Nothobranchius furzeri: one gene and its partner. The protein of the gene in region 1 purifies or fractionates together with the protein of each later gene. This does not show direct contact. Links are inferred from orthologs where the notes say so. Each region holds a gene or a part of one and is shown on either strand. Other genes may lie near its edges.

Region 1 (8,862 bases):
GGTTCGAATAAAGGCAACTGGACTTCATTGGTTTGTTCAAGAGGTTCTCATCTGAAAAGCTTTGCCAATTCTGACTAGAATATGGGAGTGTCAAGCTTATTAAGTTTATCAAGTTTATAAGCTTGACCCTCCCATATTCCAGTCAGGACTGACCAAGCTTATCGAATGAGAAAGACTTGAAGAAACCAAAGAAGTCCAGTTGCCTTCATTAGGACCCTTTTGGATTCCTTTCTAGAAGTCCGTCCATCTATTGTTCTGGGGTAGGGCATGGAGCTTGTGTCTCCAGTGAGGGACACCTTGGACAGATCTTCAGTCTACAACAAGGACACACGGAGACGAAGAGCATGACAAATGGTCATGTACTCATCTTGCATTTATATGTCTGGGAGGAAGTCCACTGATGTATGGCAAGAACATGCTAACTTCACTCCAAAAGCCTTTGAATGGGATTTGGACTGGCGACCTTGCTGCTAAGTGACAGTGCTATAAACTTCACCACCATGCAGCCCTTATGTAGATCATTCTTGAAATACAAGACTGCAGCACTTGGGTCAGCTGCCATGCTGTTTTATAAGTGCTTTATAAATAAACTTGATGATGATGATGAAATACAAGACTTTAAATTTTGTACTGGTAAATAAACTTAGGCCAATAACAAGTGTTTATACTACTGATGTGAACTCTGGGCAAATGCACAGCTGGACATATTGAATACACCCAATAAATGACTGAGCTCCGCTGTTTGTTATTCCCTGTACTCTCACACTGCCTTCGTTGACCAGGTCTTTCACCTGGTGAAATAAAAGAATAACACATTACTGGTCATTTGTCGATGCTTCTAAGAAGGACTGCTAATATGAGCTTGATTGAGAATAAGGATTCTAATTTCATTAAGCCAACTTATAAAAAGAGCCTTGATTTACATTTCTATGTATCTTTGGAAAAAGTACCTTTCAAGAAAATCAGCATTCATAGAATAATTCCTGGTGGATGTACACACCATTCTAGACACACGCATTCATTCCCATGGAACCATGAAAACATAATCAATGGAATTATTTGTAATTAAACCCAAAGTAAATGTGTTTTAATCCTGCTACGAGGTCCCAAGACCCAACATTGTCTTTGCAAAGAACCATGACATTCATAAACAATCTCATCCCCCATGCTAACTTATGTTGCACTTCCGGGTATGGATGAATCCTTCCAGTTAAGGCTGAAAAACGTGAAAAGTGTGTTGCTGCATTTTGCATAACAAAGATATTTTTTGATCTGCAGTTGACATTTTACATTTTTCAAAATGGGGGTTCTGTGGAAAGGCAAATATTAAATATCTTATCGGCTGTAGAAAGTTCTTTGAACAGCCTGTTTGAATGCCTTAAAACCAGATGAAAAAAAATATTTTTGTACTTTGTATAAGCACAAATATTTTGTGGTTAAATGGAAAAATAATGACATTTTAGACAAAAGTACTACAGTATATTGCTCCACAGCAATTATAATGTGGTATATAATTTCAATAACTATCCATTTTCAGCTGCTTATCCAGAGTAGGGTCGCGGGGGTGCAGCAGCCTAAACCGAGAGGCCCAAACTTCCCTCTCCTCTGCCACTTGGGCCAGCGCCTCCTGGGGAATCCCAAGGTGTCCCTACGCCAGCTGAGAGACATATGGCTCTCTCTCACTAGCATCGGCTCCACTGCGCCTGGACTGGGTTGGAATTGTTCCCGCGTGCAACCGGATGTCTTTTCAGCCCTCTTCCCGAAGCGGTCTTCCTGGAGCCGAACAGGGCTGAATACAGCCACTGCTGACTGATTGGCCTGCTCAAAATTAAGTGTACCATTAGGGGAGCCTCCAAATGGCAGATAGAATCAGCCCGTGGGGGCTTACATGCACAATTCATTATTCTGGATGCTGTGGAGTTAACGCCGTTTTACTCATTGCTTTGAGGAGGTGCGCGCGCACACACACACACACACACACACACACACACACACACACACACACACACACACACACACACACACAAACACACACAGTGCTGCCAGACAGCAAAGCAGGATGCAAAAGTAATCAGAATATACAAAAGCAAGACTGCTCAGGCCGCCTTTGTTTAATAATGGAGACACCACAGACTTCTTCGCACTCTTTTGCCCTGCACACGTGCACAGAGACGCGCTCATGACATCACAGGACACAGACTGCCCATGTGCTCATATACATCTGCATTCCTAAGGCGGTGTGGAACGAACACAGCCAGGTTTGGGTAGGCAGAGTGGAGTGGAGCCTCTGCTAGTGTGTAAGTGGCAATAGTCCCTGAAGCGTGTCCTGGGTTTTCTCTTGGGTCTCCTCCTAGTTGGAAGTGGGAGGCGTCCAGGAGGCATCCTAACCAGATGCCGGAGCCACCTCAACTGGTTCCTCTCAACATGGAAGAGCACCGGGTCAACTCCGAGCACCTCCCAGATGACTGAGCTTCTCATCATAACTCTAAGGGAGAGCCTGCAGAGAAAACTAATTTTGGTCACTTGTATCCGCAATCCCGTTCTTTTGATCTCTTCCCAAAGCTTGTGACTATAGCTGAGGGTAGGAACGTAGATAAACCGACAAATTGAGAGCTTTGCCTTCCACCTCAGCTCTCTCTTCACCACAGACCGATACAGCGCCTGCATCACTGCAGACGCAGCACGAATCCACCCATCTATCTCATGTTCCATTTTTCTCTCGTGAATTCAGTAACTATATTTAGTGAAATTTATAGTGGTGTAAAATTTTGCAAGGACTATATTTTTTGAGATTTGAGTCATTTTTAAGTCAACATACATAAGTCAAACTAGCAAGTAGGTACTCTGTATAGTCACAGCATGTCTTTTTCTCTAGACTGAGGCTCATCAAGTTGCTTACCACTAGGAAGATGATAAATGGACTTCTGTTTTTCACAGAAAGAGACTTAGAATATCCAAACCATCCCTCAAAGTGCTAATATATATATATATATATATATATATATATATATATATATATATATATATATATATCTGAACAGAAAATGGTATTTATCAGTACAAGAAAAGGCATTTTATTTATCAGTACAAGAAAGGGCATTTTGACAAGGAGGAATTGCTTTTTTTTTTCAATTAAATGTTTCAACTGCTTGCCATACACCTTGCTCCAGGAATGGTACTGCGTTACAGCGCAAGGAGGCGTTACAGCAACACACACTAGTTTGTACCAGAACTTAGACGGTGGATGGAACCGGAGGGCTAAAGGGTCTGACGATTTAGCAACTAGATAGTAGATACACCCAACTGCCACCACGGATTTTTTATGGGATAAACGAACAGGCCTCGCTGCTAAAACGGTGACTATATTCGTTTTTGAATTTCGGGACGCTGTTTTTGCACTGGTTATGCCGCGGTTCTCACGACAGCTAGCATTAGTTGCCGCGGACCTGACGAACGTAGCTAAGATGGCGGTCAAATTATTTACATTAGCTCTCTGCTAGCGCTGTAAGCTAACCGCTGCCCGCTCGCTAAGTAGCCAGTTTTAACATAATAAAATGTATGTTTCGCGTTTTATGTGTTTCCATGTTGCAGCTGTCCAGAGTGTTATTGTTTATTTTCATGATGCTTAGTCAAATTAATTAAGTTAACAGCAATTTTAGCGAGATATTTAATCATTTTACATGGTCTTGGATTTAGCGAACGTTATTTAAGGAGTTGTCGTTTGCACTTATTGTTAACGTAGCGTCTTCGTTATGCTTTGTGTGCTTTAATTTGATTTATGTGTCGAAGCACACACATTGTAGGGATGTGACATTCCACAAAAATCTCGCTCCAACTTGACGTAGCTGCTATTTTCTCTTTCTGTACCAAGGCTAGCTGGTTTGTCTCGAAACACGAGACGATGCTCGTTATTTTCTCTTCTAGTCTTACTGATTATTTTATGTTGCTATATTTTTAGAGGTCACTCTTCACAACATTAGGTTCAGAGTGACCATTCGGTCTTGAATTTGGGATACTTTTCTTAGTGTTTGATAAACTTTCTGCTAAGTCCCATAAAAATACACATTTTCAGGCCTTTGAGTTCAAATTAATTTGGATTAAAAGGATTGTCACTTCTATGCAAAGCAATGCGAGCTAGTTATTTTTAAACAATTTTACAGATCCCTTTCTTAAAATAAAGCTCAGTTCAATAGGAACTGCCTTTTGCTAGAATAACAATGAAAACGTAACTTCTCCATTAGCCTCTATTCAAAAACAGACAGAATAAAACTGCATTTTTACACTAGTAGATCTCATCATGACAGCTAGCAGTTTGCTTGTTCGTTGGTATTCCAAACTTACAGTAATGTAGAATAATCATTTTGAAGCTTGAGGTAATTTTACGATTTCTGAAATATTTATTTGTGAGATTTTTCATGTTTTCTACCGATGTCCTCTGATAAAACAGCTGACTTTCATTACTTGGCTAAATGTATTGCCAACCTCAAGGTTTTGATTTCAACTCTGATTGATTTGCCTTTCCAACAATCCACTAGATGCCTCACAACAGACGGTACTCATCGTCTGATAGAGACAGTCGCAGCAGCTACCCAGATCGCTACAGAGACAGAGGACGAAGATATCGGCACAGACGATCACCTACGAACTCCTCCAGTAGTGACAGAGACCGCGACAGAAGGGGGCGAGGGCACAGACAGGAACAAAGCTACATGCGCTCAAGGAGGTACGTCTGCATGTGATGTTACATTTATAATGAGATTAACACAGTTTACTGTTTAACATGAATTCCTTGTGTTTAGTCGCAGCTATGACAATCGCTCAACAGAACATCGACCTTTTGATCGACGGTACTACGAGGGATACAGACGGTTGGATCAGAGCCAAGATCGCGACAGAGACAGGGAGCCACATGGAGCAGCCGAGAGCTACTGCCCACGAGACTTCTCCCCGAACATGTACGACTACAGGCGTGGCCGCGAGAGGGAGCGCGAACGGGACGATTCATATCGGCGGAAAGGCAGCAGGCGTAAGCACAAACGAAGGCGGCGTAGAACCAGGTCCTATAGCGCTTCCTCCTCGGTGAGTAGAGCCAGGTCCAATATTGTTCTGTACCTCTTTTTTTTTCTATTTCCGCCTCTAGTTTCCACCTCTACCTCTTTCAGTCTGTCTTTCACTAACCGTTTTCCCTTGCAGCCCGTGGACTCGGTAAGTAGTGAATTCTTTATGATTTGTTTTATTTCTCTCAGTATGTTTTTATTTGTTTTGCTAAACACTGTTATTGTTTTTGGTAGAACATTTTTATTTTTTTAAAACCCTTTTTGTATATTAGTGAAGGAAAATGAAAATTTGAACTTTGTTCACGTCCACGGTGAAATCCCTGATGTAACGTTAAAAATGTTAAATTAGATCCCAGTTTTGAGTTTAAATGAAGTTTGCATTAGAAAAATAAAAATGTTCTCCCCAACTCCATACAAAATGTAGGTTTAATTAGAATTTGGATGATTTACCATGTAAAAGGGCTGGTTTTATAGGTGTTTGTTTAAATGTGGAGTGTGATTATGCACACCTGTAAATTACTCTAATCATGATTTAGTCTTGAGTTTTATCTGGCATAGATTATTTAGAAATATTTCCTGCTGGAGCTGCTATGATCCAGTCATTTTTTATTTTGTTTAATCTGAAATTAGCCTGATGCATTAGTTTTACCACTGGTTTAACTGGTTTTTGCGTTGATTAATGGAAAAGCCAGTTGCCTCTTTGTTTTTGAGCAGCTGTGGTTATAAATTGAAGGGGGGAAAGAAGATGTGATCTTTGACTTGTTCCCTTGCACTATATCCCTATCGTTATATATTTCCTTCACGTGGTGTCATGCGTGAATCGCCACGTGACCACGAAACCCACCTACAACCACAACACCACCCTCCTCCTCCCTCCTCATCTACCTGTGCCACCTGATGCCGTGGCTGCTACTGAAACCCCTGTCCCCTCTGGTCGTGTTCTGACCTGCTGATGGCGGTTTGGGTGTGAATACAGCGGAGCACCAGCCGGACGCGGGCACTGAGTGTGAGGGACGACGAGGAAGGGCACCTGATCTGTCGGAGTGGGGACGTCCTGCAAGAGAGATGTACTCACTGCCACTACTCTATCGTAACCCTTCTCCATATGAGTATAATCATAGAGCATTTACATGACATGGGATTGTCTGATGATGATGATGATGATGCCTTGCTAGAATGCTCTTCGCTCTAGCTGAAGTAGCTGGGTGGATTGCAAAAGGAGTGTTGATGAATTTGAGAGAAACTTTAGATAAATTCTGCCTTTTTGTTCTACGATTTTAACTCTGTGGAGCATTTCTTTTGTGTTTCACAGGTTTATTTGACTTCACAAAACGTAGAATCCAGTTTTTAGCTGTTTGTTTTCTTGTGCTGTAGCCTAAAAGTCAGTTACAGTTTATATAGCTGTAACTCAAGTTAGCTGTTTCCCACAACCAATGTTTTAGGGATTCTAGTTAACTTACACACACTTAAGTAGTCAATTCTGAATTGTACAATTATAACATGTACATTTTTAACTTAAATTTAAAGGCCAAGTTCACTTTTTTAACTTATTTTAGGAATTGATCTGTCACTTTAAAACAAACACGCAGGTTAATCATGAAAAGATCCGTTTCCTGCATCAGCCACTAATAGGAATGGGAAAACTCAGATTAGCAAAGGCAGTCAGCTCTACACACTGAAAATTAGCATTCATGAACTTGCCCAATTTAGCTCGTGACGGGGAAGGCTGTTGTTGATTTATTGTTCTGAAGAGACCAGAGCACATCTCGGCTGGTAGAAGCTAACTGTTAGCATTAGCAGCTCCACCACACAGAACTCCTCCAGGCTTGTGTTATTTGTGGAGATAAATCATCAGCGAGATGTCCGACTTTTAGGAAATACGACTCTTAAGTCTTGCCATTTCTTCTGCTCGCCTTTAATCTGGTTGACATCTGCTTCCTGAAACTAAACTGCAACATTTTTTTTCCACAGAGGTCGACTCACGAGACATTAGTTTATAGCCTGGCCAGCCAGACTCGTCCTGTTTAATTCTGCACAGAGAAAGGGTCTGGGAACGCTCCTATACAAATAACCTCACCCCGTGAGAATTCTAACCGAGCCAATCAGTGCTGAGTATCGTACGTCACACACCACAACGCCGAGTTTGTCGAACATGGCGACTGAACCGGAATTTGCTGCGGCTCTTTCCTTTGTTCTAAATGACTTGGACACGTCTTTAAAACAACATGTAGAAGCGCCAAAAGCCTTTCTTCTAAAGAAAAATGATTGCGCTGTCACCAGACGCCATTTTTGACTACAGTTAAAAAAACTACAGCGTCGCTGATGTCACACACAGCGACGCTCAGTTTCTCAGAAACAACGAAGACAGCGGTGGAGTTTGCTGCAGCTCTTTCATCTGTTCTAAATGACTTGAATGTCTTTAAAATAACAACATGTAGGAGCACTAAAAGAATTTCTTCTAAAAAAAAAAAAATGTTTACGCCGTTGCCAGACATCTTTTATTACTACAGCTAAAAAAAACTACAGCGTTACGCGGTACAGTCAGCATTTCAGTCTTTTTTTCTGATTGGTTATTTTTGAGCTGGCTAGTCCCGCCCCTCTTGTGCCTCTCTGCCTGTGAGTTACCAGACTCTTTCTCTGTGCAGAATTAAACAGAGGACGAGTCTGGCAGGCCAGGCTATTTAATTTACACCAGAGACCGCTGCAAATGTGTAGAAAAAGATGAGTGAACTTGGTCTTTAACTTTTCCTGAGTTAAACAGTTTTAAAAATGCTAATCCGTATCAACCGTGCCATCTGTTTGTTAGCCATCTATTTATTTAGATAAAGACAACACAGCTACAGATTAGTCATAAAATGAGGTGTTTTATAATTGCCCCCTTATGTTTTAATTAGAAGTTGCATTCACTTATCTTAGACTTTGTTTTTTTTAACCTGGCACAGTCAATAGGGAGCTTTTTATTTTAAGTGATGGGTGTTAGCAAAGATTCGCCTATCTGCTGTTTTTTCCTGCTTGAGTCCACATATCTAATGCTCCTTTTTTCTTCTTCTTCCACTTCCCTGTCTTTTCCTTTTCTGTTTTTGTTGTGTTGCAGATGAAATCGTCAGCACTTTGGGGGAAGGCACCTTCGGGAGGGTGATGCGGTGCATTGACCATCGCAGGTGTGCATCAGTTCAAATAATAACAAATTAAAAAAAGCTAAGGATGCTCTGATCCGATCACATGATTTTCGGACAATCATAATAGTGTAGAACAGAAACAATTTTACCTTGTAAAACAACAAGCAAGACCTTTTAACTTCATCCTGATATACATAAAGACAATGGCGTAGTGTTAGTTTTAACAAGTTCCACTGCATCAGTGTTCGTTGTTGCGTGGGCGACACCATGACGTCGCACAATTTCCAGCTAGTGGGGATTCAGACACTGTTAACATGTAGCTGTTAGCTAGCAGGCCAATACAGCTCTAACGTGTCGCCTTAGCGAAAATATCTGCATTTTGGATTCTTTAAATCTGGACAACAAAGGCAGAGTAACGTTTGTTTGTTTGTTTATTTATTTATTTATGTAGCACCAATTCACAGCGAGAGTTGTCCCTACAGCGTCTTGTCGTGTTCATACCGGGCGTTTCACTTGGTGGAAAAGACCGATCTGCCTTCAACACTACAAATCTTATACGCTTCCTTAGAAACAAAGTTCCTTTGGCTTTTCCCGTCGAGGGGTAATCTCTTTTTTTTTTTTATTATTATTTTTTGTAAAACAATTTATTTTTTGATAAGTTTAAATATGCAAAAAGCCTATTTAAG
Region 2 (8,153 bases), on another chromosome or scaffold:
TTTCATAAAGAAACTGCATATCAAGCTTTCATTCAGATGACCTTCAACAGTGCTGCACCCTGCTGAGGGACATCCGAGTAAAACCTTGAGATGGCCATTTTCTGTTCACTAACTTGCTTTAGTAAATCCTTACTTTTGTTAAATAAATCAGTTGTTGAACCCCCACTCCTCTGTTTGGTCTCCTTTCTTATTACAGCCCACCACTTCCAGTCTGGGTTGTAACAATCTGCAGACAGATTTTTGAGTGTCTCCTCCTCCTTTGGTACACAGATCCTCACTGAGCCATGTACTGTGAACAAATAGTTTCTCCGTGATATTGTCCAGCAAGGTCCCGTTTTTGTCAAAACAAGGGTGAGGTAATGAAAAAATAGAAATATTTGATTAAATTAACATTTAAATTATTTATATGCATCATTAAAATAAAAAAAACATGTTTTGAAATATATAAAGTGCACCAAACTTGACTCAGTCCATTCAACAATTCTAAATGGACAATTATGTAACTCATCAATTAATTATTTGAAAGGATAATTTGTCAATTAAATACTGAAAAAAATAAACAATTCATTAATGAGGCAAGAACTTCTCTCTCTCTCTCTCTCTCTCTCTCTCTCTCTCTCTCTCTCTCTCTCTCTCTCTCTATCTCTATCTCTCTCTCTCTCTCTCTCTCTCTCTAAGGGAGTTTGCAGTTATTTCAGTATGTATTTTTCCAGTATCACAAAAAATGTAATTTTATATGGTTAAAACCGTCTAGCTTATGTGCACTTTTTAAAACACTGCCCAGCAAACATTCGGACGTTTAATGACAGTTGAACGGTCACAACTGTAAAATACCTGGAATTAAGAAAAATTAACATGACATCTACTGCATTTTCCTTGCCTGGACTCGAACCTGGATCCTCCGGGGCGAGAGTCACCCGCTCTCCCAGCTGAGCTATGCCAGCAACTACTGAATGTCAGACTTTTTTATATAGATAGAGGATACAGTGCGGGGTAAACTAACCAATCAGAGGACAGAGAAGATCTGCCACAGGCCACGCCTCCAGAGTGCCAAAAGCCCTTACAGCCGAGCGAGCAGGAGTCAGAAACCGAGCGCGCACAGAGGCTGCCACGCGCGCACGTTTTCCTCTGCCGTGTGCTCGTTGACAACGCGCGCACGCAGGTTTGTCACTTGTGCACATCCTTGTGCGCTCACAGACACAGTTTGCTCCCTCTCAGTGCACAAATGACCTCTCGCCATGTATATTTCCGCTCGCGAGTCCCGTTCACACGCGCGCTGCCATGTATATTTGCGCTTGCGAGTCCCGTTCACACGCGCGCTGTGGACCCAATGCGCGTGCACGGGTTGTGGCACGCTTTAAACGCCATAGGCGAGCTCAGCTGCCGAAATGCGGCAGGATGGCGGAAGGAGCGGTCGCCCTTTATGTAGCTCCGGTAGCTATCTCAAATAATGGACTTGTGAAAGAAAACCCACAAAAGGTTTGATTGGCCAATGGGGGTAGCGTGATCATGCTGCAAGCACATGCGCAGATCATTTTCTTTCTGGTCCTCTGGAAGGAAGGACGGTCCTGTCGCTTCAGATGCATCGCTAATCTGCTGGTAAAGTCTGCTACTCAGTTGTAGTCAAAGTAGCTGAGGGGGGTCAGAAATGTCACCAGAATTGTCGCTAGGCGCTTTTTGGAAAAAATGTCGTTAAGGGGGTCTGAAAAGGCGTTAGAAATGGTGACAAATTCGCTAAGTTGGCAACACTGCCCGTACTTCCGACTTTGTCTTCTTTGAGGGATAATAAATGTCCTCCCGAGCGCTGCCGTCTCCTCCTTTGAACATTATTTCAGCTTTAGCTTCAAGAAAGTTTTGGTTGTAAACAACGAAGCACGCAACTTCTGCAGATGATACGGTGGCTGGTAAGGGTCACCGCGCCTACACCGCAGCCACGGTAAACCCACCAAGATAATATAGTTTTTTAAAAAAAACAAGACGGTTATTATTATTGTCAACTTTTTTTTTTACCGGGGTTTACCGCTACACTGGTTACAGTGACAACCCTACGCTGATTGGTCTGCTTTGATCTATTTTGAAAACTCCGATCAAAACCGATAGGGGCGCTATCGGCCGATTACGATCAAATGCCGATCCATCGGTGCATCCCTAGTAATATAGGCAGAAGCTGGATGTTTCCCTGAAAGATATCTAGTCCCCATAATTCGATCCCTGCTCCTGGATGAAAAACTGGACATTTTGATCAATGTAGGAACCCTGAACTCGAGTGGTGTTTCGTTATTGGACTTCTGTGCAAGCCGCAGTTTGGCCATAACGAACACCGTGTTCGAACATAAGAATGCCCATCGGTACACTTGGTACCAGGGCAGCCTAGGTCGCAGGTCGATGATAGACTTTGTAGTCGTATCATCTGACCTGCGGCCGTATGTTTTGGACACCTGAGTGAAGAGAGGGGCGGAGCTGTCAACTGATCACCACCTGGTGGTGAGTTGGATCAGATGGCAGAGGAAGATGCCGCGTAGACCTGGCAGACCCAAACGCATAGTGAGGGTCTGCTGGGAACGCCTGGCAGAAGAACCTGTCAAGACGGTCTTCAACTTTCACCTCCGGCAGAGCTTTGACCACATCCCGAGAGCAGTGGGGGACATCGACTCCGAGTGGGCCTTGTTCCACTCTGCAATTGTTGAGGCGGCTGTTGCTAGCTGTGGTCACAAGGTGGCCAGTGCCAGTCGTGGTGGCAGCCCCCGTACCCGCTGGTGGACACCAGAGGTTTGAGAAGCCGTCAGGCTGTAGAAGGAGGCCTACAGGGCGTGGCTGGTCTGTGGGTGTCCGGAGGCAGCAGACAGGTACCGGATAGCCAAGCGGGGTGCAGCAGTGGCAGTTGCCGAGGCAAAATCTCGGGCATGGGAGGAGTTTGGTGAGGCCATGGAGAAAGACTATCGATTGGCTCCAAAGAGGTTCTGGCAAACTGTCCGGTGCCTCAGGAGAGGAAGGCAGCAACTCGCTCACACTGTTTACAGTGGGGATGGGGAGCTGCTGACGTCAACTGGGGCTATAGTGGGGGGGGGGTGGGGGGTGGAAGGAATACTTTGAGGAGTTCCTCAATCCCACCTACGCGCATTCCGAGGAGGAGCCAGAGCCGGGAGACCTGGGGATGGACTGTCCAATCTCTGGGGCAGAAGTTGCTGAGGTAGTCAAACAACTACACAGCGGCCGAGCCCCGGGGGCGGATGAGGTTTGTCCTGGGTATCTCAAGGCTATGGATGTTGCAGGGCTGTCGTGGTTGGCACGTCTCTGCAACATTGCGTGGCCATCGGGGGCAGTTCCTGTGGAGTGGCAGACCGGGGTGGTGGTCCCCATCTTTTAGAAGGTTGACCGGTGTGTGTGTTCCAACTATAGGGGCAGTGTTTCCCCTAGGAATTTTTCCAGCTGTGGTGGTGGTTTGGGGGGGGGGGGGGATTATGACACGTCTCACCTTTATGTTAATATTGTTTTATTAGATGCACTCCACTTTGAACTGCAACAAAAAAAACCCGACCGGAGGCAGTGACCGACGCATGCCGTTTTCAGCTCTGTCTTGTCAAATGCACCACGTACGTTCCGAAAAAAGTAACTTTAAGTATTCAACCGAAAAAGGCGAGCTGAAGAAAACCTCGGGAATACCGAAGAAACGTGAGCAACAATGAAGCAAGCACAGAGAGATCCGTTACTGTCTGTGTGTGGGCGTGGGGCGGATCAGAGTTTTGTGTGAGTTAATGTCACACTTTAAAGGTCAAATGTTCACGCTGAAGTTTATTTCTCTCCTTTTTTAATCCATGCAGGCTCTGATGCTGGAAAACCTGCAGAAATCATCCTCCTCTCACAGTGTGCTGCAGCCAAACTCTCAGGTTGGAGTTTATTTCCAGTTAAACAAAAGTTAAATTTAATATCTGGGGTAATTGTGTCATTTGTTTTCTTTTTGTACTAATGTGTAGATTGGGGAGGAGATGTGCCAGAACAGCTTCATAAAACAGTACTTGGCCAAACAGCAGGAGCTCCTCCATCAGAGGCTTGAGAGAGGGGCCCAGAGGGGAGAAGAGGCTGATGGTACATCACCCGTAGCGACACACATGGTAACTAAATGGTGTAATTTATAGTAAATAAAACAGAAAGTTTTCTTGTTGACAGAAAGTCCAGCTGGACCAGAGGAGGATGAAGACCATTCTGAAGACGAAGACAGCTCATCATACGTTACAGATAAAGTTAGTACTGGTTTATCTGGTCTATTCGCTCTGACAATCCTGTAAAATCACATTTGAACTGTAGCTGATAATCAGAATTATTAAAGTCATTTATTTTGTTCCAAATCATTAGAAATGCTGTAAAATATGTAAACGTTGTTATTTCTGTACCGGGCAGAGTCAAACGTTACCGTCCCAACCCTCGGGTGCTCCCGGTTCTACTTTCCACCACCAGGAGTCTCCTGAAGCTTCAGGAGTCAAGCTGCAGCGAGGACACAAGGAGGCCCCGGCCCCCTCTCCTCCTCGTGCGGTCGCCTACCTGTCGGTGCGAGTCCTGGGACAGCCCGGTGGCCCCCCTGCTGCATCCCGCTCCCAGGAGAAGGAGCAAACGGTTGATCCTGGATCGGCTCACTCTGCCCTTAACCTCAGTCGCTCTGTTGGGAGATCAGCAGGAAATCACGTACAGGAGGACAGCGACGACGACGATGAAGTCAACAGTGATGATAGTGATGAAGATGAGGACTGGGGGTCCAGTTCTAGCAGAGCAGGGATGCGGAAAAGAGCGCCTCCCCCATTGCCACACGCGGCTCCCAGTAACTCCTCAGCTGCAGCGAGATCCAAACGCAAGCTTCAGCCTCCGCAGCACATCCCACCCCCGCCGCAAGTGGACCCCACTCCCATGCAGCTGCGCCACCCCACGCCTCCTCCTTCACCTCCTCATAACCTCTTCCCTTTGCCAGACACTCCCAAGCAAAGTCCTCCCGACGATCAGGAGCGGGATGGGCTCCGAGATCCACAGGTGACGCCTTTCCAATCTTCCGCAAGACAGAGGAAAGATTCGGATTCAAGCTCTCGCTCCAGCAGCCCGGAACCCCCCGTCAGAGGCAGGCCAGGGCCCCTTTCTCTGCTCGTACACAAGATGGAGACAGAGGAGGCGTCTGCAGCGCCGGGCTCGTCAGGAGATTCGGCACACTCCCCTGCCGGCTGTTCCAGGGAACCTCTGCTGCGAGGATCAGAAACGAAAAGAGCACAAAAGAGCAGAGAAGACAGGAAGCATCTGATGGAGGAGAAGGAGAGGGAACTACAGCAAGAGCAGGAACGAGAGAAGAAACGCCCAGAGGAAGAAAAGAAGAAAACACAACTGGAGGAGGAGAGGAAGCAGCGCCAGGAAGAGGAAGAGGAGAGGGAGAGAAAACACCGGGAAGAGGAAAAGGAGAAGAAACATAAGGAGGAGGAGGAGAAAAATATAATACAACTAGAAGAGAAGAAAAAGGAAAGGGAGAGAAAACACCAGGAAGAGGAAAAGGAGAAGAAACGTAAGGAGGAGGAGGAGAAAAGAATACAACTAGAAGAGGAGAAGAAAAAGGAAAGGGAGAGAAAACACCAGGAAGAGGAAAAGGAGAAGAAACGTAAGGAGGAAGAGGAGAAAAAAAGAATACAACTAGAAGAGGAGAAGAAAAAGGAAAGGGAGAGAAAATGGCAGGAGGAGGAAAAAGAGAAGAAACGTAAGGAGGAAGAGAAGAGACGAGAGGAGGAACGGCTAAAGAAGGAAAAAACTCAGGAAAAAGCCAAAGAAGAGAGTACGTTGGCGGCTGAGACTCAAGACTCAGGCTCGTCTTCAGATTCTGACTCCAAATCAGACTCCTCTTCATCACCACGCTCCTCCTCTTCCTCCTCTCCTTCCTACAGGAACAAAACCCAAACGGTCAGTCAGCCTAAGGTTAGTGAAAACCCTGTTCTGGATCTCTCGCTTCCTCTCTCTGGATTCAGCAGCACCTTCACACATAAACATCCAACCAAACACTGGAGTTTAGTCTGTTTAATCTCCTTGTAGACGCGCGTACAGTACAGGCCAAAAGTGTGGACGCACCTTCTCATTCAATGTGTTGTCTTTATCTTCACGACCATTTACATTGGGAGATTCTCACTGAAGGCATCAAAACTCTGAATGAACACATGTGGAGTTTTTTACTTAACCAAAAATGGTGAAATACCTGAAAACATGTTTTATATTCTATTTTCTTCCAAATAGCCACTCTTAGCTCTGATTACTGCTTTCTACACTCTTGGTATTCTCCTGGTGAGCTTCAAGAGGTAGTCACCTGAAATGGGTTTCCAACAGTCTTGAAGGAGTTCCCAGAGGTGTTCAGCACCTGTTGGCCCCTGGTAAACGGTCATAAAAGTAAAGAAAACGCATTGAATGAGAAGGTGTGGCCAAACTCTTGGCCTGTACTGTACGTCTTGTTTTTGTGTCTTTAAAGAGCAAGTCACTCCAAATCAACATTTTTTTGCCGATAAACTATATAAATGAGTGTCTGACCATGCTGCAGACACGTGTAGTCAGTAATTCGGCACTTTAGTGCAGCTTAGTTAAAATTTAAATATTCTGCCTAAAACTGTCAGTGTTGCACCGTCGTCAGGTAAAAACTCAGCACTGCATTTGAATTTAAATCTGCCATCCCTATTGGCTAAGAGGTACACTATGACATTAGCTGGTACATTATGATGTCACAATGTCGTGAGTGTGTGTATTTGCTAGCGGCTCCACCCTCTCGGTCTGCTAGGCAACAGCATTTGTTGCATTTTTCAAACGGGAAGTGGGAGTTGAGTAAGAATCTGGTAGGGGGTGACTTGCTCTTTAAGAAAGCTTTGCTGCGATGGTGCCATTGGCTTTTATTTTTACATCATCCCACAGACGTCGGTCCAGAGACCAGAGGCAGATGATGAGAAGGAGACCGGTGTGGGTAAAGTGTCAGAGAAACCAAGCCTTTCTAAAAGGTCAGTGAGTGTTTTTAAGATACTGATGAATGAATTCTGGACACAAGCAATTTATGACTAAATAAACCACAGTTCCATTTTAAATCAAGGTTTTGGGAATAAAGAAATTATAATGAGTATGCTACTTCATCTACATTTATTTTATGACTCTGGCCAGCACACTGTTGAAGGCTTACACACAACAAAGCACAACTAAAGAAAGAGAATCATTAGTGACATTGGAATATCTGTTGCGTCATTTCCACATTAGCCCAGATTTCCTTTTCAGTGTGTCAGGACTACAAATTATGTTTCTGAATATATTCATCTTGCAAAGAATCAAAGGAGCGGGTTGCTGTCACTGCCATTGACGACAAAAGTCGTCATTTTAAATCCAACCGTTCACATTGTTTTACAGCAGGGATTCCCTAAGTGTGGAGCTGCCGCTAGGGGGTGCGCGAGGTGAAAAGTGTAATGGCTGCTGAGCTCAGAGAAGTCTGTCATATGTCACCATTAGCATAGCCAGAAACTCATTTGTGGGTGGGCCTAAGAAAAAGTAAGTGGGCCCAATAAATGCAATCGAAAACAAGTATATTTTGCGCGCGTGTGTGTATGTCCTCCGCATGTGCCCTAGCTTCATAATAACAATGCGCCAAGCTTCAGTGCTCTGGCTTGGCGCACGCCGATATGTCCCGTATTTGATCATTTTCATCGGTGTTGGAGAAATCTGAAGGTGGTGAGTCATTCTGGCAGATTGTAATTAACACCCTGTCTCATGCAGGTGTTCTGACATTGTAAACCTCACACACAGAACATTGTGGATGTAACAAAATAAATCAAGAAATGATTCCCATCTGAGCATTTTAGCATTATTATATTATTATATTAGCACATGGACTGTGGGACAGCATTCTAAACGTGTGAGGCTATAACAGCGCCCTGAAGATCTGAAGTTCAGAGTGCGTCTGTCAGAGGTCAGACGCGTTCCAGCGGAACCACGGCTCACGGGTGCACATGTGAGCACATCTGGGCTGGGCAGAAGTAATTTTACAACATTGGTTTAAATAGCGCTAATAACGAGACGCGGTGACTGGAGCTGCTCATGGAGCTGTGCCGTACACACACACACACACACACATACTGATTCAATAAGCACATGCTGCACAAACTCCGGCG

The links.
Region 2: the proteins of clk2a (region 1) and acin1b purify together in Homo sapiens (affinity purification with mass spectrometry; 3 studies listed by BioGRID and IntAct, counting the BioPlex papers as one, with this or other methods). This does not show direct contact. The link is inferred for Nothobranchius furzeri from reciprocal best matches to the Homo sapiens genes CLK2 and ACIN1.

The regions. Positions count from the first base shown.
Region 1 is NC_091759.1:6,925,345-6,934,206, forward strand, and holds the start of clk2a (dual specificity protein kinase CLK2), read left to right. Parts: upstream 1-3,216; 5' UTR 3,217-3,356; intron 3,357-4,535; coding exon 4,536-4,723; intron 4,724-4,799; coding exon 4,800-5,079; intron 5,080-6,033; coding exon 6,034-6,124; intron 6,125-8,151; coding exon 8,152-8,218; intron 8,219-8,862. UniProt on the Homo sapiens protein: Dual specificity kinase acting on both serine/threonine and tyrosine-containing substrates. Phosphorylates serine- and arginine-rich (SR) proteins of the spliceosomal complex.
Region 2 is NC_091742.1:59,494,532-59,502,684, reverse strand, and holds part of acin1b (apoptotic chromatin condensation inducer 1b), read left to right. Parts: intron 1-3,821; coding exon 3,822-3,887; intron 3,888-3,974; coding exon 3,975-4,086; intron 4,087-4,167; coding exon 4,168-4,241; intron 4,242-4,398; coding exon 4,399-5,940; intron 5,941-6,915; coding exon 6,916-6,998; intron 6,999-8,153.